Oreochromis niloticus: one gene and its partners. The protein of the gene in region 2 purifies or fractionates together with the protein of the main gene of each other region. This does not show direct contact. Links are inferred from orthologs where the notes say so. Each region holds a gene or a part of one and is shown on either strand. Other genes may lie near its edges. The genes, in order: cflara, hdr and ripk1l.

What was found.
Region 1: the proteins of hdr (region 2) and cflara purify together in Homo sapiens (affinity purification with western blotting, with the first as the bait; 5 studies listed by BioGRID). This does not show direct contact. The link is inferred for Oreochromis niloticus from reciprocal best matches to the Homo sapiens genes TNFRSF10B and CFLAR.
Region 3: the proteins of hdr (region 2) and ripk1l purify together in Homo sapiens (affinity purification with western blotting, with the first as the bait; 3 studies listed by BioGRID). This does not show direct contact. The link is inferred for Oreochromis niloticus from reciprocal best matches to the Homo sapiens genes TNFRSF10B and RIPK1.

The regions. Positions count from the first base shown.
Region 1 is NC_031987.2:13,980,023-13,987,245, forward strand, and holds the start of cflara (CASP8 and FADD-like apoptosis regulator a), read right to left. Parts: upstream 3,026-7,223; 5' UTR 2,786-3,025; intron 2,691-2,785; 5' UTR 2,631-2,690; coding exon 2,344-2,630; intron 2,262-2,343; coding exon 2,156-2,261; intron 2,011-2,155; coding exon 1,875-2,010; intron 180-1,874; coding exon 124-179; intron 29-123; coding exon 4-28; intron 1-3. UniProt on the Homo sapiens protein: Apoptosis regulator protein which may function as a crucial link between cell survival and cell death pathways in mammalian cells. Acts as an inhibitor of TNFRSF6 mediated apoptosis.
Region 2 is NC_031977.2:5,218,665-5,226,493, forward strand, and holds the start of hdr (tumor necrosis factor receptor superfamily member 10B), read left to right. Parts: upstream 1-4,795; 5' UTR 4,796-4,940; coding exon 4,941-4,964; intron 4,965-6,692; coding exon 6,693-6,846; intron 6,847-6,990; coding exon 6,991-7,119; intron 7,120-7,244; coding exon 7,245-7,356; intron 7,357-7,592; coding exon 7,593-7,684; intron 7,685-7,829. UniProt on the Homo sapiens protein: Receptor for the cytotoxic ligand TNFSF10/TRAIL. The adapter molecule FADD recruits caspase-8 to the activated receptor.
Region 3 is NC_031982.2:17,766,249-17,773,666, forward strand, and holds the start of ripk1l (receptor-interacting serine/threonine-protein kinase 1), read right to left. Parts: upstream 3,012-7,418; 5' UTR 2,854-3,011; intron 2,575-2,853; 5' UTR 2,573-2,574; coding exon 2,412-2,572; intron 1,438-2,411; coding exon 1,281-1,437; intron 1,137-1,280; coding exon 999-1,136; intron 918-998; coding exon 686-917; intron 574-685; coding exon 424-573; intron 1-423. Other genes in the region: dusp22b (dual specificity protein phosphatase 22-B), read left to right, coding at 5,670-5,690, 6,108-6,141, 6,272-6,354, 7,241-7,290. UniProt on the Homo sapiens protein: Serine-threonine kinase which is a key regulator of TNF-mediated apoptosis, necroptosis and inflammatory pathways.

The DNA of each region.
Region 1 (7,223 bases), on a different chromosome or scaffold from region 2:
TACCCATGCAGCGTTCTTGTGTAACATGCTGTAGAGGAAAAGAAAGAGGAGATATTTTTATGGCTTTAGTGGAGAAAACATTATGGGAAATGTGAACTAACATCTGTAAAGTGTCTCACTCACAGAAATTCTACGGGGTTGCTGCAGAGACAAATTTCGCTGCTGTTCAGGTGCCCTAGCTGTAAAAGACAGGCAAATATACATACATAATGTCTCTGTGTTTGCTGTTCTATTGTTGTCCTTGTTTAAAGAAAAAATATCCTATTACATTTGAAACATACCAACACATTAAATAAACAGCATTAAATTAGTACTGAAAATTGTATCTACCCTAAAGGGAAAGGTCTCAATGAATCCATGTGATGTCTTAAGTACGATTACCCTGAACTTCACTTTATAGTGGACTAAATAAGCAAGGCGGGCTCATGGTTGCAGGGGTTAAATAAAACTGAAATGCATTTTGATGTCATTTTTTTATGATCATAATCTTTTAACTTTTGCTTCAAAGTTGCTGAACATCATGACAGAGCACAGCCACAAAAAAAGTCCATCCATCCATTCATTTTCTTAGCTGTTTATCCAGTTTAGGGTCTCAGGTGCCAGTCCCAGGTGAACAAGGGCCAAAGGTAGGCTAAATTCAGGACAGGTTGTCACAAACTGAAAAATGTGTTTACCTTTAATACTGAGTTTTTGGTAAGGAAAATGTAATAAACTTCCAATTCTTTGCTTACTACACTCACCAGCCACATTATTAGGTACATCTTGCTAATACTGGGTAGAATGCCTTTTTGCCTTCAGAACTGCCTCCATTCTTCTCAACGGCATAAATTCAACAAGGTGCTGGAAACATTCCTCAGAGATTTTGGTCCATGTCAGCTTGATAGCGTCACGCATTTGCTGCTAAACATCAATGTGGAAAATCTCCCGTTCCACCACATCCCAGAGGTGCTCTATCAGATTGCGATCTGGTGACTGTGGGGGCCATTTGCAGTGAACTCATCGTCATGTTTCAAGAAACCAGGATGAGACGATGCGAGCTTTGTCATGTGGCGCGTTATCCTGTTGGAAGCAGCCATCAGAAGATGGGCACACTGAGATCATAAAGGGATGGACATGATCAGCAACAATACTCAGGTAGACTGTAGTGCTAAACAATACTAAGGGGGGCAATAAAATATCTCCCACACCATTACACCACCAACAACAACAGTGTGAATCATTAACGCAAAGCAGAATGGATCCAAATCTATGCTTTTTTCGTTGTTTAAGCCAAATTCTGACCCTACCATCTGAACCATCAGAAAGTGAAACTCGGCAGACCCAACCACATTTTTCTGATCGTCTGACGTCCAGTTTTGGTGAACCCATGGAAATCACCTGGTGTGGTCTGCTGCTGTTGCCCATCTCCTTCAAGCTTCAACGTGTTGCGCATTCAGAGATGCTCATCTGGGTACCTTGGTTGTAACGAGTAGTTATTTGGGTTACTGTTGCCTTCCTATCAGCTTGAAGCAGTCTGACCCTTATCCTCTGACCTCTGACATCAACATGGCATTTTCGCCCACTGGATAAGTTCTTGTTTTTGTACCATTTTCTGTAAACCCTAGAGATGGTGACGTGGGAAAATCCAAGTAGATCAGCAGTTTCTGAAATACTGAGATAGATATTTGCATTAATTGTGAGTGATTGTGAGTATCAATAGTTTCGGGTATGCTATACTGACGAGGAACATAAAACTTAAACCAGTTCTGTGTAACTAGTAGGGAAGTGTTTCCCACTTCTCACTGCAAAACTGTTACAAACCTTTCTCATGGAGATACTATTTTAAGCCCTTCAGTATATAAAGGGAAAAGGGAAACACAGAAACACAGTCTAACCTGAATTCTTGTAAGTGGTCAGTTTTTTGACTAGATCAATCCTGCCAATGTTTCTCAAGCACTCCTCTACGACGTCAAGTCTTTCTGGTGAGACTGAATCCAGCTTTTCAAGTTCAACAATAATATCCAGGAAACTCTGTAACACAAAGGGGGGGGGTCCCATCATTGACTGCAGCATGGTTTGTTACGGTAATAATAAATCCCCACCCACATACATTTCAGAATGAGTGAAAACAAAATCATGCCTCATTCATTCTGGGGTTTTTTGTGTGTTTTCTTACCTTTGTCTTCTCAAGCTTTTCACGAGATAATTTGCAAGTTAACAGGAATTTAATACTGTCCAAATCTCCGGTGTCCAGCTCCTCACTTAATTCTGCCATCAATACTCTGCATTAAGTGGAACAAACACTGTTAACTTCAATTCTTCAAATCTTTAGGATTAATCAGCTCATCTTAAAGGATGTCTTACCTGAAACTTGGGACCATTTGTCTGGTCCTCTCCAAGTCATCCCTGCTGACTTTACACACCTTCCTTAGGATATCCAAACGCCCCAAACAAAACATGAGCTGTGCCAGAAACAGGTGAGCGTTTTGATGGTGCGTCACTTTTGATCTGAGCATCTCCTTCATACAAGCCACACTGTGGTCCGTGTCCAAGCTTTCACATAGATAGAAGAGCCTACTGCGTTCATTGCTGCTGAGAGCTTCCGCGATTTCATTTATAGCATGTAGCTGAAATTGTTCCGGAACAGCCATGTGGAATTTGGTAAAACTTTAAGAGGTGATGAGTCCAGAATAAAGAATTGTAGTCAAAGCCTGTGGGTCACAATAATCGCCATGTTAAGATCCACAAAAAGTCGTGAAAATATAATAACCCATCACTAATAGACGAAATTATAGAGAGAACTTACCGAAAAGAGTCCTGCAACAAACACGTAGCAAAGCAGAAGAAGGGAAACTATAGAAGTGACGCACCACTTAAAAACCCGAGGGAGGGGATTTACCAAATACTTCCCAACGTAAAATGAAACCAGCGAGGATCCGCTTAACAAAGAAAACTTAACCGGATGAATACCATATAAGTTCTGTCCTTTTACAAAAACTGCGCAATGGCACAACCGAAAGGGAAAGCAAAGAAAAATGGCAGCCGATAGACCACACCCACAAATGAAGTCATGGCACAAGCACGAGCGGTGAAGAGCCTCACCTCCAGGACCTTCCAAGAAAATATACTGTCTGCAGATTTTTTTAAAAAGCACTGAAAAATATGGAATAATCAAGACACTAATATGGTTCATAAAGAACCCAGGTCATCAGTTACAAAATTAGATCTAAATGCGGTGAGGGTGTTTTCAGTTAAGGTTGACTTCTGCGAAAAGTTTACAGTCTAACTTATGACAATTGTCAGCTGCAACCTTCCACACGCCACTCAATCGTTGTCGGCTGCATCGACCCCAACGTAGGGTTACATGTCTTGGGAGGTGCACCTCATGTTAATTAGAAGGTTGCTGCGAAGGGTTAAAGGAAATTTCGAGGTTACGTTGTAAGTTATGATGCAGATTTCCTGCGGAAGTCTAAATCAGGCATAACTGTGGTGCTGAGGTCAGTTACATCTCTGTCTAATCCAAAAACAGACTCAAAACCTTGTTTTTTCTCACAGGCCTAAATTTAACTGTGTAAAATGTGTAAAATGTAACTGTGTTTAACTCTCTGTAAAGTGTTTTTTGCTTCTATGTTAAGCATTTTGATTTTTACATAGAATTAAATGTGCTATATAAATGAATTTGTCAATGCAATAGATTCTTTTTATTTTTGTTTTATTGTTTGTTTGTTTGTTTGTTTGTTTTTACCAGAGAGAAAATAATTTTCTCATACAAGTTGGAAAAAAGATAAATGTATCACTTAAGTGGATCATAATTTGCAATAACCTGACTTTTTCCCTCAGCAAAGAATCTTTTTGCCCATCATGTATAAAACCAGCTACAGTATATTTTCTTTTAAAAAGAGCGGGGCTTTGTAGTTTGAACACCTATGACTGCATTTTACACAACAAAGTGACATTAGTTCATTCTTTGGATTTTGTGTTTATCATGCTGTGTCATGCTGGGATAGTCGTGTGCTGAGAGATTTGAGCCTCACGTTAAACGCTGAACCACTAAAGATGATAATCCTGCTTCTCTGCCTGTAAGATCTCTCGAGGTTCAACCAGAAGCCTCACTAAACTCTGTGAAAATAAAGTCTTTAGAAACAGCTTCCTGTCCAACACCTTTCACCCACTGAGTGTTGCAGCAAGGGGTAGGTGGACCCTCTCCTCTTCGGTCATACTGTGGAACAAAACAGTCATGCTTGCCCTGTTGCACAGAAGCAAATCTATGTCAGAGGCAAATCTGCTGTAATAAGTCCCTTTATTATTCATACATCATCTGGTACAATTATGTTTAAATTGTAACAATTTAAACTTAATTTAATGTAATCTAAATGATTCTTTATTAAAAATTAAACAGCAAAGCTCTGAATATTTGTTTAAGTTATGTATTTGCTATGCTGGTTTTATTACATTTATCAAGCTGTTTTTGTTCTGATTTCACAATAGTCTTACCTTCTCTAGATATATGCTTTGTCATGCTGTATTGTTTTACTGAGCTGCATACCATTCAGCTATTTAAGATATCACATCTCATATGTTTGTTGGGTTTAAGTTTTAACTGCTGTAACAACGGGATAATAAAGTCTTATCTTAATCTTTTTATCTTTTCTTTCTTAAACAGATTCAGTGGCTTATAATGGGTTTCAGACTGTGGAGGGATAATCATACATATTTTTAAAATTATTTTAACAGCTATTTGTGGCAATATGAGCGTGTTAAACCATTGCAACTTTTCCAATGGACTTGAACGCACCACTGCTACTCCCCCTGCAGGCCGCCGGAGATTTATCAAAGCTCACTGAGTTCCGCTCAGCCTGGCCAATCGTGTCTCGCTGTGCCTCAGCACCATCATTGCAGTGTGGAGAGATCATACGGAGGTACTGCTGGCGGAGAGAGGGACCATTTGAAGAAGGGAAGATACACGACCCGGGTGACCGCTCTGACCAAACACCGTTCCCGGTTCCCCAAAACAGCCACTGTGTAGCATCACTATAACCAGCTTCAGTCTGAGTGAGTATTTAATTTACTATTACAAGAGGAAGGATTTTCCAGGTAGTCGCAGACCGGGGCTGCTGCTGCTGCTGCTGCTGCTGCTGAGTTGGAACATCACAGCACAGTTGTTGTGTTGATGTGGATGTAAACCCGCGGCAAGGAGGCTTCAACGTCTGCGGGGTGTCTTTTAGGAAAAGGACCACACAGCAGATTGCTCTGGGCTGGAGCCAGGCTGGCAGCAGTCAGCCGCCCCGGCCTGGTCACGACTGATGGAAAAACGAGGATGTCCAACAGCTGCTGACTGTAACAGGCGTGCTAACGGCATTCGAGCCGAGCTAAGGTAGCTAACGTTGGCGTACAGGTTCAGGCTTCGTGGCAGTGTCGGAGCAACCGTTTGCTAGCAGTTAACTACCTGGCTAACATAGCTGCGTGACCGTTAGGACTGCACGATGTCTTCAGTGTTTAAGGTTAAACAGTGATTGTGTTGTGACATTACACCACCAACTACATGTATCCACCGCAATTTATACAAACACGTAGCTGAATTTGACAATACGTTGCAGCACATTTTTAACAAACGGTTTTATTTTGAAATTGATGTAAAAAACAAAAAAACAAGCGGAAGTCCCAGGTTTAAAACTCTCGACTGCATTTATAACTTTTTTTTAGTCGGATTCATTGCTTCAGAGTAAATAACCCATGTGTAGAAACACACTAGAATGGCCAGTCTGTTTGTGTGTGTGTGTTTTAAGCCCTTATACCATAATAACTTTAAACTTGCAGCAGCTTCAAGGTGATTTCAGGTCCCGTCATAGATGCATTCCTATAGTTTTATGCTGGAATGGCTTAGGTATGAACAAATAACTTAAACAATGCTGTGCTAATTCACCTAATGCATGCCTCTGCTGCTCGATCAATTAATCAGTCAATAAGTTAATCAAACTTTATTGATATACCATCATTCGTGGAGGTTAGGGCTGTTCAAGCTGCTTAATAGATGACTGATAAGCTGATCATGAGGAACAATTACTGAAACTAAAGTAAGGCTGGATTAAAAAAAAAGAAAAGGAAAAACAAACAAACAAAAATAATACTTAATAAACTGTACTTGGACCGAGCTTTGTATCACTCCAGATAAGTAGTTTCTAAATTGGGTGCTGAGGTCTATTTGTTTGCTTTGAGCCAAGTGCCTTGGGATTGCGTGTCAACCAAGCAGTATTAGTGTAACTGCACTTACATTAAATAATAACATTTAAATATGCTTTATTAATACACATTAAATGACTATCATTGAGGTGTGTGTGTGTGGGGGGGGGGGGTCCTGATTGATAGTGGGATAACTAATGCAATCCACTTGAAAACCCATAAAACCTGCTTTAAAACACCACAGGTTATGAATTGGAGGTGGTGGAGGTTTTTCAAAGTGATCATCAAGCTAAGCCTGTTTGCATCTTTCTTTTTACATTCCTTCTTCCATACTGACATTTTGCTGTGGCTCAACACAGCAAACAATAAATTAAAAGGATACTGCTTGGAGTGATATTGGTCTAGGCTGATAAGCCACCATTACACTAATGGCATAATGAGCAAAGGTGTGGAGCTCAAGATCTAGATAATTCCAAGCCATCTGCTGCTCATCCTCAGCCTTCATCCTCCTCTCTCCTCCTCCTCCCTTGCTGTATTTCCACCACCATGTGTTTTGGGACTAGGCTATCATCAGAGCTGCGGCCTATTTTAGACAGAAACTCCAGTTACCCACTTAATCTGTGTCTCATTTCTCCAGGAGTTGGGTTTCATGTGCTGCTCAGTGAAGTAAATGGTAACCTTGTCGGTGACTTTGGATCATATTGTGAAGCTGGTGGATTTGCTCGATGAAGGATTGTGTGCTCATAAAACTATTGGCTGATGGTTTAAGGACTGTTATGACCTTTGTATTAATATAGTGTATGTGAGATTTGACAGCACAATGGTTCCACCTCTGCACCGAATGCGAGTAAACTGAGACATCTTTGAGCCAAAACAAGTTTTGCCATACCGGTATTGAGCCCAGTAGTGTGTTGCCTCCTTCCCACCCACCAACAGTGATGCACACGCTTAGGGGATCAAAGCTGTAATTAGCCTGCCATGGATTAGCAATGGGGACTATTTTCCATTGTACTCACCCACAGCGCCAGAGGATCACACAGGCAGGCAGCCCCCTGCCCTTCCTT
Region 2 (7,829 bases):
AGGCAAAAGATTGTTGTATTACAAGTCTGATTAAGTGAGGCATGATGAAACATCCTCTCATGCAAACTGTGTAAAATGTGGCGGAACACCCATAAATACACTTTCAAAAAAGGCAGCATTGTATACTGTCTGTGACATGCATCATTACAACAACGAAACAGATAAGTAAGTTCAAATGTCTCTAAGTGAATCAGTAAGACTAACAAAACATTCATAAGAGCATTGATTGCTTCTCCTGCTCCTGGCTGTGAGGCAATTGGCCCACTGAATTGTGCAATCCTGCTCTAACTGCTAACATTAGCAATGTGGCCAGCTAGGTTATTGTCATTTATGTCAATAGACAAACCCACTTGTGAGCTCAGCAGATGAATGGGCCCGGTGTCCCAGGCGGCCATCAGCATAGCTTATTATGAGATACTCCCTGTGGAAATATAGCACATCTTAGGTTTGAGGCCATGTTAACCCTGCCTCAAAACCCTAACTCTAAACTTTGTTTTTTAATTTCTTTATTGGAAAAAATGGAAACAGTTTTGATGTATCTCATTTAGAATGATCAATTTCTTTGTCACCTGATTGCCAAGACCGTGAAGCACAGTCTTAAAAAACAAATAAATATTCCGATATCATGGGTTATGATTAGCATCAGGATCATCAGCGATGACTTGGACCTCACAGGGATTCCCTTTTGTGTATGCTTTTTAAAAACGCTATAACTGTATACTAGTTCAAGATTGCAACCTATTTAGCCTATAGTGTCTACCACGAAACATCCGGAGGCTTTTAGATTATTATGAATGTTAACCTCTTAATTTAGGATTTGATTTGGGGTTAGGTTGGATTTTAGTCACATGTTAAACATGGATAGTTTCTGAAACTATCCAATCAAGTCTCTTACTTGCAACACCATGAATATGTTCCAGCAATGGTATCCCTGAAGGTGTTTGTTTGTTTAGATTGAAACAGCATATGTGTATTACCCCACATTAATACAGCACACGTGCATGTGATGCAGTCAATAGAGAGGAACTAGTGTGCTGACAGAATGTTCCAGATGGAGACCTTGAGCCATGCGGGAACAAAGCCATGAATAGACTTCCCCTAGTAACTGGCTGAATCATAGTGCAAACTCAATGAAATACGCTTTTAGGCCATCTACACCCCCGGCTCTGACCAAAGTCCATCTGGAAGTAAGTCTTGCCACCAAGTACAAATTTAGGCAGTCATTTTGACGTATTATCTAAAGTCAAATAAGAACTGCATGTATGGAATTACCAGTCAAATCTAATGAGAACAGTTGCTCATTTAGAGGGTCGCCACAGTGGATCATCTGCCTCCATCACACTCTGTCCCTCTGATACACTCATTTCTAATCTTGTCCATTCTAATCACTTCCAGTGAAAACCTTAAGATGTTCAACTTTTCCACCTCCAGCTTCACCTCCTGTCTTTTTGTCAGTGTAACCATATGCAAACCATACACCATAGCATGTCTCAATGCGATCTACCTTTCTTTCCATTCTTGCTGCTATCCTTCCGTCACAAATCATCCCTGACACTCGTCTCCACCCACTCCACCCTCTTGTGCACTGTCTGTTGCTTTGGACGGTTGACCCCAGGTATTAAAACTCGTCTACCTTCACTATCTTTACTCCTGCTCCTTCACCTGTCTTTCTCTCACTCACACACGTATTCTGTCTTGCTTCTGTTGAATTTCATTAATCTTCGCTCCAGTGCATACCTCCACCTGTCCAGATTCTCTTTCACCTGCTCCCTGCTCTCACTACAGATCACAATGTCAGCTGCATTGTAGTCCACGGAGACTCGTGTCTGATCTCATCTGTCAATCTGTCCATCTCTACTGTGAACAAGAAGGGGCACAGAGTCAGTTCTGATGTAACTTTGATTTCCCCTCAGTGTCTCCCTTTATTAGATAATGTCACTGGTCAACCTTCTGCTGCTGCCCTTCACATCTGACCCAGTCTGGGTACTCTACAATCACACTAGAGTGGATATTGTTAGTGCTCTCGTGAAGCTCATGGCCCTCTGAATCTGGCCACCTTTCCACTGTTGTTCCTATACTCACACTATGGCCATGGCCATTTAGATCTATATGAACACCTTTACCTCCCTTCCATTGTGGCGAAAATAAAGAGCAGTGCTTTCCCATCCTTCCTAACCACCACTTTGGTGCCCCCGAGTTAGACCCTTAACTCTGAGCTGCTCCAGTGGAGCTGCTCAGAGCCGATAGATCTATTGTACTGGACAGCATGTAACTGTGCAAGCATCGACGGGGCATAACTGAGAGGGAAGACTTGCTTTCCTCTGAACTTCCATCGTAGAATAAATTTGTGAACTAAACATCCACACAAGCTCCTAGGGAATAGAAACAAATTAAAGTGCAACATTTTTCAGGAATATATGTATCCATTATCTGTATCCATCATTTGCATAAAAGATCATCCTTTATTCAACCCATTTCTTGTCAGTCTTTAAACCTAATGTTGGAATTTTAACATTTAACAACTTCTAGTTGCACTTCTTTTGCTTATTCACCAGTGTGCAGGTTCACTCTGTCTTTGGATAAGCTTTGTCTAATTCCTCTATGAAAAAGCAAGTTCATGTAGGTCTTCAGTTCACTCTCTCCTCTTGCACTGTGTGTCAGAAAGATCCCCTAACCTCCCTCTCAGTATACACATAGGCTCTGTAACAGAAGAAAAGTATATATATATTTTTCCATATCATTAGAATTGATCTCGACCTCGGCCCAGCCGATGAGCAGAACCCTGTACGGTCTGTCTGAATGCAAAATTCATGTCTTATCTCGGAAAACGTGGCTCAGAGATTCCAGCCACCTCCCGGGCCTTATCATCAAAAAACACAAGTTTGCAGCAGCGTGTGAGGGGAAACGGTGCAGAAATTCAGAAATGGAGCAGACTCTGAATGATTGGGCAAATAAAATAGGTAAAAAAGATGTCGATGAGCTGCAACGCGCAGGAAACTTGTAGAGTGACTGGTCTCTATTTCTCAGTGTGCCTGGCAGCCTGTGAAGCCATCAGTCACCCAATCTCTGAGCCTGGAAACAGGCTGCCTAAAACTGTGAGACCATTTCAGCACCATCTCAGAGCATCGCAATCAACAGACTGAAACGGAGGTTTTATTCCTCTCCACATCCACAGCCCACTGCTTCCTGTCGGCCTGCATATCTGCGCGCTGCAGACAACTGCTCATTAGATAATGCTAAACTGGCACTCCCAAGCATGAGGTTTGCTAAACACTGTGGTGATGGCTGACTTCATGCAGTTTGTGATGAAAGCCTTTGTACAATAGTCTGTTTTCCCCCATTATCCCGTGAGGGGCTAACAGCCGAGAGAGGAACCTCTTGGAACTGTTATTCACTTTGCAATACAGCAGCAATTTGAATGTTTGAATGCTGAGCTCATTCAGAGTGAAAGCGATCATACACAAGGTCAGATCCAACATTTTATGTTTAAAATAGGCAAAAGCTCAGTTTGGTATAGGAGAAGCAAATGTTTAGACTTTCACGCACTCAGATCCTTCAGATAAAAACATTGCATTCCACTGTAGGCCTAAACATATTCTTACATTTTACATTCTACAAACTGTTCATCACCTATACCTTTAATATTACTGTAAAAAAAAAATACATGTTGTTTTCAGGATTCAGGCAGCTCATTTTATCTCATTTCTCTGTAGCTTTGGCACCACGTATGTTGCTACTGTGATAAGCTGTAGCCACAAACTACACCTGTGTTTCCTCATGTGAATCATGTGCAGTATTTGTGAGTTTAGTCATGATTTACTCTGCATGAAACTGTTTTTGTTTGTTTGTTTCCTCACCTCAACTTTAAAACTGTTTTCAGCACAAATGCTCACACCCAGAGATGGAAAGCTATGTTTGCTTAACCCCTGAGCAAAAGCACAGCATTTTTGAAGTTGTACTGATAATAATTTGCCATTGCGTGTTATTTTATACTACTGCATTCAAAGAAAATATTCCCAAAATATATAGTTAACAGAAGCTGAGATTAAAAGCATTCTTTAATAAAATAATTTCACCATATATTAAATTAGTATTCTCAGTAATCAGTCATAAGGCCTCTTACATGAAAGCAGTGTCTGCTTGCAACCACGGTACATTTTAATAATTTCATTTAAATGAATTTATACCTGAAAAAGAAGAAAAAGAAGACCGAGAAAAGAGGAGGGGGCAGGGTTAATAGCCCAAATATGCGAAATTGTAATAACCGTAATAGCTTGAGGAAAAAGTCCAGTGTTAATTCTTGGTTTTTTGTTTTTTTTTGTTTTTCTATCCCGGGGGCTTAATGAGACTGAATTGTGTTTTTTAAATTTAAATAGGCGCCTTATCGGTTTGTGAAGCACTCTGGTCAATATTTGTTCTGAGCCGCCGACGGGGAGACGTTTGTCCGCGGGGCATTTTAACGCCAACCTTTAATCCCAGCCTTACTCTAAACCTAAACAGCCAGCTGCTCTTCCAGAAACTTAGCACTGAGATGGCACAGGTGACGTCAGCTGGGGGTCAGTACAAAATCTTCTATATCATCTACAATGCTCGCTAATAATTATTGATAATTATTGATAACGTTGCAGTTGAAGATGATTTGAATTATACTAATAAAAAAAATACACATTTATTATAATTACTTCTTGTGTGGCCGCTTGGAGTTGCATCAGTGGGGCTGTTTTTTTTCGCCTCCTGTTTGAGAGCTGAAGACGTCTGGGGCTGCTTTGTACTTTGGCCCCGCCTATCAGCTACGTCATTTATTCAGAGTCGGCTCACACCTGAGTTAAACTTTTGAGAGAGTAGCCTACAGGACGCTACGGTGGTAAATCTAAATCGATTTGCTCTGAGTTACAGTGGAATAATTGAAAGTCTGTGGAAGCCGACATTTTTAGTAGAAGATGAAGTACATTCTTATGTTTGTGGTAAGTCCTGTTGTCTTTATAAACATCTACAAAGCTTGCTGTGGTTTCACGGGCCGGTGTTGTACCGGCGTCAGTCAGTCAGCGGGAAGATTCTGTAAACAGCTTCCTTGTGACTCATTTTTAAAAATGGAGAGCCCTCAAAGTAATAAAAGAGTGTTTTTAATGTTTCGCGACAACCGCGGGGGATTCTAATATTTATGTTAAGCTATTAACTTAATGAAAAGTTAATTATGTAAACTTTAAAGTTTTGTTGTTGTTGTTTTGATTTGTTTATTGAGAATCGAAGTGACCAGAATTGTCACGGGTTGTCGAAACAAAGTTTAGCCTCCCGTTGACTGTAAATTAAATAGAAAAGACCTCTGGCAATTTTCCGGTTAACTGGTTTGCGCAAGATGTCGCATTTATGTGTCAAAAGTCTCACCCGGCGCTGTGTGAACAGGTGTGAAATTCCTCGTGGGCTCACCAAAAAGTCACGTCATTTCTGTTTTCTCCACCTGAGACACTGCAGTGAAACTAGTCGATTGTTTGAGGCTTTTTTTTTTTCTAGCTTTTGGCTTGATTTTGAGCTGCCTAAAAGATTTATTTTGATTAAATATCCTCTAATATGTTTATGTGCATAAAGCGATGGAAATGATGGTTTGCATTACGTCAGAGATGACTTCCATCGACTTAAAGTGCTACTTTATAGAGTGGGTCGCCGAGTAGAAGCACGTATTGGAAATATAAACTTTTTTTTGTTTTTTAATTAAACTCTTCTGTATGTCTTTGTGTATAAACAAGGTCGCTTTAGGTTTTTTCTTTCTTTTTTCTTCTTTTCCAAAGTACTGTTAAATATGCTTAAGCACGCCATTTCTACTTTCCAGTGAAGGCAGGGGGATTAAAATTCTTATAACAGGCACTTTCACACACAGGTGAGTGTTTGTCTTTCTCTCCATGCCTGCTGGGAGATGCCCTCACTTGTGATCTCTCAGTAACTAGGGCACCTGATGGTGTTACGAAATCATGGGTGTGATTTCCTTATTTGGTTATTCCTGCAACCTATCAAGGTGTTGGCCATATTAGGACACACTGTTTGTGGATCACGTTTCCCCTGTTGCTCAATATTAAGAAGTTCATAAATCAGCTCGGATACTTTGGTACACTTTCTTAATACTGAATCCAACAGGCTTAGTCCAAGGAGTGTTGGAAGGAAATCCCCCTTCTCCCCCACCCACCTGCGCAGCACTGACTTGTTTATTTGCTTTCAGAGTGAAGTGGCGTGTTCTGAAATGTGGTCTAATCTGACTCACATCATCATACAAGGAAGCTTCCACAGAATAATGACTTATATACTTTTTCTTTATGTTAGCAGTGAAAATGTTTTCAGTTAACCAAAACATATAATCAGAGATTATGTTTCTGTAAAACTCATAAAATGAGTTCTTTAAGAGATTTCAAATTGAGTACATTAAGTTGAAACATGGAAAAAGATGAAAGCTGTGTACTTGATATTTTTAATTAAGAAGGTAGTTTCATGACTATAACAAAGCAGGTTTTTGCTCATAAGTCACCATGTTTTATCCCAGTTTCCCATTCTTGTCAGATCGTAACTAGTTTTGGTACCTTAATGTAACCAAAGATCACCCCACCTGCCTACTTAGGGACTCTTTTAAAAAAACTGTTTATTCACCACTCTGACTTCCATTTATTTTTTATTATTATTTTTAAACCCCGCATCCAAATCCAAAGGTTTTTGTGCCTGTCCTGGTCCTTCTCCTCAAATCCACCACAGCATACCCACAGGCTGGTCTTAAGGTGGGAAGCAGCAGAGCACGGCGGCAGGCCAACTGCCCAGCAAATCAGTACCGAAACGGCAACCTCTGTTGTTTGAATTGTAAAGCTGGTAAGTCTTGTGAAACTGAACTTCTGTAATAATTTCAAACCAGTAAGCCATCAAAAGCCACATGAAACGGCCTTATTATTTAGCTAGAGTCACATGTTCAGTTGAAGGAGATGTATAAAGTGTGTATGTGTGCGTGTGCTCTAGGTACATATGTGAAGTCACCCTGCACTGTAGATGGAGAGAGGGGGCAGTGTGAGGAGTGTGATTACGATACATACATCAAGCATGACAACGAACTAAGGTTCTGCTTGAAGTGCACACGGTGTCGTCCAGGTAATTCTGCTTGGCGGCTTTACACCATCGATCAGAATGAAAAGGTTCACTATTGATTGTTCTTGTAGTCGGCGTGCTCCGAGCATAAACTCTGACTTAAGGTCTCTTTCATGTTACTCTCTCAGATGAGGAAATTGTAAGCTCATGCACTCACACTGAAGATACTAAATGTCAGTGCAAACCAGGGAGATTTTGTGATCCTAACCAAGCATGTGAGGTGTGCTTGAAGTGTTCAAGGTAAGTGTCTGCAAGCCATTCAAAATCAGTAAAGACACAATAAGCATAAGGAGGGAGTGGATGGTGGATATACTGGGTGTTGAATGTGGAGCTGCCAGAGTAAGAGGGTTGGTGTGACAGAAGATGATGCTAGATGCAGATTGTCCACTGTGCTGACTCCTAAAGGGAGCAGCGGGAAGAAGACTGACATTTAGGTCTTTAAACCTTTCAATCCATTTTGCTTCTCTCCTAACTAGGTGTGCAGAGGATGAAGAGAAAGTGAGAAACTGCACATCAACCACAAACACAGAGTGCAAGAAGATCCAGAACAAATCTGGCTCTGATCCAGGTACCCTACTCTGTGGCAGATGCATGCAAGACTTTTGTTACACTGGGATAAATGTATATTTACAAAGTCAGATTTTCCAGGCCAAAAACAAATGATATCAGAGATTCAATCGCACTGTACATTGATTCAAATCATGAATCTCTTT
Region 3 (7,418 bases), on a different chromosome or scaffold from region 2:
TTGTATTGTATACTATTGATACTAGACCTCAGAGGACAATGGGCAGACTGCTTTGAGCTGACAGGAAGGCAACAATTACTCAACAGCAAGAGTAATTCACATAACCACTCATTACAGAAGAGCATCTCATCTGAATGCGCAACAAGTCGAGTCTTGTGGCAGATGTGTTAGAGCAGCATAAGACCACAGACAGAGTTCACTGCACTCAAACTGCCAGATCTGTCAGACAGAGCATTTGTTGGATGTGGTGGAACAGGAGATTTGCATCTTGGATGTGCTGCTGACAGATCTGCAGCAACTGTGTGATCCTATCGTGTTGATATGGACCAAAATTTCTGGGAAATGTACCTAATGAAATGGCTGATGAGTGTACGTGGTTCCATCAATGAGTGCTATTTTGCTTAAAATACACAAAAAGGAAACCTTTAAAAGTCGGTCGTTCCTGAGGATTGTGATCCCAGCATCTTTTCATGAGCTGAATTATTTCAGAAGGCGTGTCCTCTGGAATAAGATCCTCTGCCGGTCGGTCACCGTTACGAACACACTGGCTGATTTGGTCTTCACTCCTGGCATCTGGGCATAAAAAGATGCTTTTTTTAAATGGCTGCAATGACATGCTGTAAGAGGATATGCTGCATCTGGTAATCTTTGGCAAACTTTGGCATGTCATGACATCACAGCTCACTTGCATATGGCTCTTCCCCTGTGAGAATGACCCACACCACGATGGCAAAACTGTACACGTCAGACTTCTCAGTGGAGGGATTATGAATACTCTCCAGGTGCTCCGGGGCCATGTAGCTCAGTGTGCCAGCTCCTCTCACACCAGTCGATTGCCTCATACGGCTCTTCCTTCGAGATTCCTCCTTGGTGAGTTTACTCCACGTTTGGCAGGTGGCCAGACCAAGATCTGCAATCTACAAGAAATCCTTCACCATGACTGTGAATGCCAGCAGACAGAATCCTACATGTGTCATGACCCAGAGAGTGTAATGTACCTTGATGTGAAAATCCTTGTCCACTAAGATGTTTTCCGGCTTGATGTCCTTGTGTATGACATTCTTTTCTGTGAGGTACATCATTCCCTCCAAAATCTCTAAGATGATTCTTCCCTTGATAGATACTGGCACACTGACCTGAAGAACAGAGAGATTATAGTGTAATAATGCTTCAGTTCATGATAAACTGACAAAAGTGGAACTCTTTAAGGTTACACGCTATAGATGAAAACCACAAAAGCTGTGTTTATTACAGGTATTTATTGATTTAAGCCTACTAACGGTCTCCAGCATGTCCAGTAGGTTGCCTCTGGGGATGAGTTCCATGACAAGAGAGCAATCTCGATCCTCCATAATCACACCCAGCAACTTGACCACTCGCTCGTGGTTCAGGCTCGCCATGATCTTTCCCTCCTCCAGTAGTGATTTTTTACTCTCCCTGGAAAGTTTGTTAAATGTAATAAGAGAAAGCTTTTGCATAGTAAAAGGGACAATGTGAGCATATTCTTACCGACTTCAATAACCCAATTCTGATATTTATGCATGTGTGGGCGTGCAGTAACAGATAAGTAAGAAATATAGTCTTTAATTCTGTCTTTCTGTTACCATTTATAATCATACAGACAAGCCAGAGCAGTGATTCTGTTTCTAGTGCTACAAAAATCAATATATCATTTTATACTGATAAGGATTAAGATAAAGACAACATTTTTAAAAAATGTGTAAAAAAAAAAAATTGGGTATTTGGTGGAGCTGATTGAAAGTACTGAGGCAAGACTTTGGATTGGCATGTGCCTCACAGTGCATCTGAGATACAAACAATAAGCTGAGAGGTCAAACAAAGTAAAAGTATCAGCAACATTTTTTTATAATCACTGTTAATATTTTGTATTTATAAATACATAAATACAATTATAAATACATTTTGCATTTATTTATATTCAGACTGTTAAGGGGACAACGCACTACATTTGAAATGTTGTCTCAAAAAATAAAAAGTGAACAGATATTCTTCACAACTTTTAAACAACTAAATAGTCAATAATTAATAGAATAATTAATTCATATATGCGGATATAAAAAACGGATGCTGGACTTCATCGGCATTGAGCTGAATCAACCTGTCTCTATTTCCTTGTGCAAAAAGGAAGTGGTTGGACTTAATACCAAGGTAGTGTCCCTTTTCACAGCACACTACCTTGGTATAGACAACCGTAATAACGAGTACATTCATTTACATCCGTGTGTATTCATTTGTGTTATTATACTTTCTGCACGCTCTAAAAGTGTCTCGCTTGGTTGCGTGGAAAACTTCGCGGGACACATGATTCAAGTTATCATTGGACGAAGGGGAATACCCTTGGGTAGCACATGCAGTAACACATTACAACAACTACAACAACAACAACTTACTCGTTGCGCAGACGTCCAGTGTACATAGTCTTTAACACCACCTGTCCCAGCGTCACATGATAACATAAGTAAACTTCTCCAAAACCTCCGTAATCCAGGGGTTCTTTTATAATGAGATCCGTCGACCTCATGTGAAGTGAGTACTCAGGCGCGGTGGCCATCCCTGGGAAGAATTCACAGTGTCACATCGGAAAAACCAAAAAACCTACAGCTCAAACAAAGCCGTAACAAAGCGCACAGGACACAGGTTAATGACTGAATCGGCTAATCAACCATCCGTAACAATCACAACACTGTCACAGAGGTCAGCTAACAGCACAGGCTATCCCAAAGTGTCGGCATCTTTAACTGACTTCACTTCCATAACTAAATTAATTACTCGGGAAACAAAAGTGTAGGGGGAACACCCCCATTCACTTCCAGTATCAAACAAAACAGTTACCGAAAATGTGCTGGAAAAGTCCAAGTAAAGCAGTTTATTTCTATTTCCGGGATTTCCTCGACGACCTACTTCAAAAGTGAAACGCGCAAGATAAAAAAAAAAAAAACTACAAACAGGCTTATAAATCGATGACAGAAACAATCCAGGGCTGCTAGTAGATTCAGGTATGTACTGTCGGAGATGCCTTTAACACAAAGCAGAAATACGGGATAAAAAACTTATAAATCTTTGTGCGTTTACTTGTCTTATCTGTTGTGTTCACATTGTTTTTTTGTTTTGTTTTTTGAGCAACATTCTGCAATTTCTGCCAATGGCTGTAAATCATTGAGTATGACGTTGGCGCCACCTAGTGGTGAAACTGTTAGCAGGGGAGGCCTGTTCATATTTCATGATGGTGACACAGTTGAATCGTTCTAGCTGGATCTAAACGGCAGCTGTCATAAGAGGGGAAAAAACGTTCTCATCGAATTAAAAAATTAAGATGTAAGCTAAGCTAAGTTAAGATGAGGACTTTGACGTTTTCTTTTGTTTGTTTGCTTCTGTTTTTTAAAGTAATAACAAAAAAATCCAAAAAACAAGTTAATATGATGGAGTAATTAAAATGACGCACTGACTGAAAAAAAACCCAAGTTCATTGATAAATTGAACATTTATGCGAAACTAGAGCGGGAAACCACCTGAATTGTAGCCACTGACAATGTGGGCGATGTACTACAAGTAGGCCTACATTTTGGGCAGCCTATCTGTGAACGCCCACACTATAAATTCCTCCTTTTGCACACCAAAGCCACATCAAAGCAGTATCATATTTACCTGGCTCATATTGTCTCCATTTTATTGGCTTGCAAGTTTTTTTCTTCTACTTTTTTTCTGTTAATTACATTTATTGGTGGTAACCTTCAGGTTATATAGCAGTTGATGAGAAATGGAGTGCTCTTACCAACAATTAAAAGACAAAAACCAAACTGGTGAGTGAAATTACTGAATTCAAGCTTAAATTCCACCTACTTATGACTGCTTGGAGATTCACATAGATGACCTTGTTTAGTGGCACAGTATCGGGGCAGCGTCCTCATTCAGTTTTGGCAGTTTACAAATGGGTCTAGGTCCATTAGTGTGTTGACTATCTGTATAAACTCAAGTTACTTTATGGCAAAACTACAAGAAGTGATACAAATATCTAATGTTGTCTCTTGCCCAGTTTTCTTGTGAATCCAAGTAACATTTTAGATTGATTGATTACTATTAGAGTACATTCACCAGTGTGCAGAGCTCTTAAAAGCAATAAAACTAGGGGAAAAGTATACATACCCTCATGCATAAACCGGATGGGTGGACTGATAACCAGCTTGCATTACTCTGTGTAGTAAGTGCATCACATCTCTGTCGCAGATGCTTTCCTCCCATTCAAGCTGTAGAGTAGAGGCTGGCGGTCACAAGCTGCCCCACATAGCAAAACAACGCATTACCAGGAAGTTAAGTGAACTGGTGTCTGCGGTGTAAATGTGCTGTCAATGTTGGGCAGTGGGTAGCAGCACTTCCTGTTGATGTCTTTATCACAGTAATTATCAGTAGAGATCTGACATATGCCATCATTTCTCTGTAATAGCAGCACTGTAGAGTCCCGTACTTGTCGTTGGTTTCTCAGTGCCTCCTTTAGCAGTCACACTCTATTTCTGTTCAGACTGGTTAACTGCCAGAATGCATCTAGTTGATTATGTCTGCAGCATAGATTAAAGTTGTTGTTTTTTCTAACAAAACGTGCCTTCATATGTTGTTTGGAAAATCATTTGGATAAGCCTCTGGAAAGAGCCTTTCCAGAGGTGTCACAATAAAAGTTGTGTTGTTGGTGGAGAGGGCATCCACACTGGCTGGTCTGTAGGAGGGGAAACAGTACATAAATAAATCAGTAAATATTTTATAACTCACTTTGTTGCAAACAGTGGTTTTTGCTGTGTTTTCAATCTATTTTAGTTATTTCAACCTGTTAGATAAAAGGAATAAAGTCAAGGTTCTCTTGGTTGAGGGTGATAAGACACATTCAGCTTGCAGATCTGTTTCCTGTTTTCTCCTGCTTGAAAAGCCTTTCCACAGGTGCCATCATTTTGCTGGTGGTGGTGATGGCATCCAGACTGGGTCGTCTGTATGGAACAGAACAAACAAACCTGTGAATACTTTGTGTTTTGCTTTTTTAGAAACAGCTATCTTCAGTGTTATTGCACTGTGTTATTATTATGACATCAAAGGAAATAAAGTCAGGTATTTTGTGAGGTTTTGGTTGAAGGTGAGAAGATCCATTCTGTACTTGACTCATAGCCTTGTTTCCTGTTTGTCCTGGCTGCAAAGCATCAAAAAGGCTGTGTTGTTATTGTTGTGTGTGTATATATATATATATATATATATATATATATATATATGTATACATTTTGTGACTGCCTTTATTATTAACAAGAGAGACAAAACCAAATTACTTTTTAATGTCATTTTTTTCATGCAACATGATCGATATTGATTAAATTACTGAGCCTTTCGTTGATCTCTTTAATTATATTTTTTATGTGGGGCTGTTTAACTCCTCCACACACATCTACTACAGGTCTGCAACGCCCTTTGCGTTAGGAAACTACAGCTCCCAGCATCCACCTCGGGAACCTCGGGCAGCAGTGCTCGGCTCGCTCGCACGCAGACCAACTGCGTTTGCTCCCCTTCAGCCGGTTTGGGAAGGCATCGAGACGCCGGATACGCGTTTTCCAGCACCGAGGCTGCGGCGTGGGGCATTTCTTTCAACTCTTCTCCAGTGAGGCGGGTCTTTCAGCATGGGTAATGGCATCAATAAGGTACGATTATCCTCTCTTCCGTGCTCCTCAGGTTGGAGTTGTTGTGTGAGTGGTCCTCAGTGTTTTAAGGAAATGTGTTTATCATTTTAGGATATTTCATAGAATAAAAAGTTTGGTTGCTCGTTAACTTTGCAGTATTAGGAAATGTAGTATAGCTGTTAGAATACTTAATCATTGCCTAGTTCAGTGATCAAACTTGAATTATTTTGGCATAGTTATTATTATTTTTTTAGTTATTATCATTTAGTGGCTGAATATGTATCTATTCAGATCGTCAAAGGACACCGTTTGTAATTATACCTTCATATTGCCAGGGTTTCATTTATCTTTATAGCTGATTGGTCTTTAATCAGTTTGCACCACCTCAGTATCAATGATTACTTTTGATATAGCAATCAGTATTCTTTTTCCTTATAGGTCCTTCCTGATTTATACCTGGGAAATTTCAAAGGTGTGTCTCATTTTCTCTTTATTATTATTATTATTATTGTTATTGTTATTATTATTAGTATTGATTGACTTCTTATATGTGTGCAGATATAATAACGCTGTTCGACTGTGCTGTTATGTGTTTCTGTCAGATGCAAGGGACAGAGAACAGTTAGCCAGAAACAACATTACACACATCCTGTCCATTCATGACAGTGCAGCTCCTATCCTCCAGGTGAGAAGCTCTCTTTGTCTTATAATGTCTCAGCACCCAGGTGAATCATAGAGGTACACATATTGAATTTCTAATAAATTTTTAAGTAGAGTCATCAAGCAAACAAGCGGAGCAGATTGATTGGCTGAGAGCAGTCAGACACCCTCCACAGTCGACCCGGTCTGTCAGGTTGTTCAGGAAGCACTGTGTATCAGTGGCTCTTTTCCTTGAGCAAACAGCTCTCGTTTCCGTGCGAGTAAAACATACACAGGGGACTTTTTTTTACTCATGTGATTCTTTAGAGTATCATGTAAAATGCCAGTCAACAGCAGTTGGTTTATCAGTGTGCTGAGTTGTGTGCCTGCGTGGGTTTCAGAGTAGGCGGTTGTTCTTGTCTCAACCAGCTCGGACTATGCAGTCTCTCTTCATTATTATTTTTTTCTGGATTATTAATTTTGACGCTTTAACATGTAGAGACACCCCCCACCCTGCCAATGGTACCTCCTGAACAGCAGGGATAGAGAGCACAAACCATTTACAAAGAGAGAAATGCAACAGAGAGCCCGCGGTCGGTCTTGTCCTGGTTTCTAAACTTCCAAGATCGGGATAAGTTGGAAGAAACCTGATAGCCTGAGGTTGCCGCAGGACACCAAAGAGGTCCCCCGTCCATGACCTGACAGCTCAGAGCTAATTTAATGGGACAACAGAACAATTAGGCTGGCGTTTTTAGTATAGTGGCTAATCAGCTTTAGTTACACAGCCTGCCCTCACCATAAGCAACACACATCGTGAATCACTGAGTGTGTTGGTGTGATGGTGACATTTATTATATTCTTCATTCTGTTAGCTGATCTGTGTTAAATATTTAGGAGAACGTGACATTTGACTAGTATACTCTGTCCACCAGGAGATGACCTATCTCTGCATTTCAGCAGCTGACCTTCCCACACAAAACCTGTAAGTACCAAATTGTGCAGCACAGCAGCGCGGCACAGAACAATGAAAAGCTGAGGCAGAGTGAGAGAGTACTACATCCATTTGAGGCTTCTTTGTGTGGGCGTCTGAGGTTCATTTTCTCCAAGATA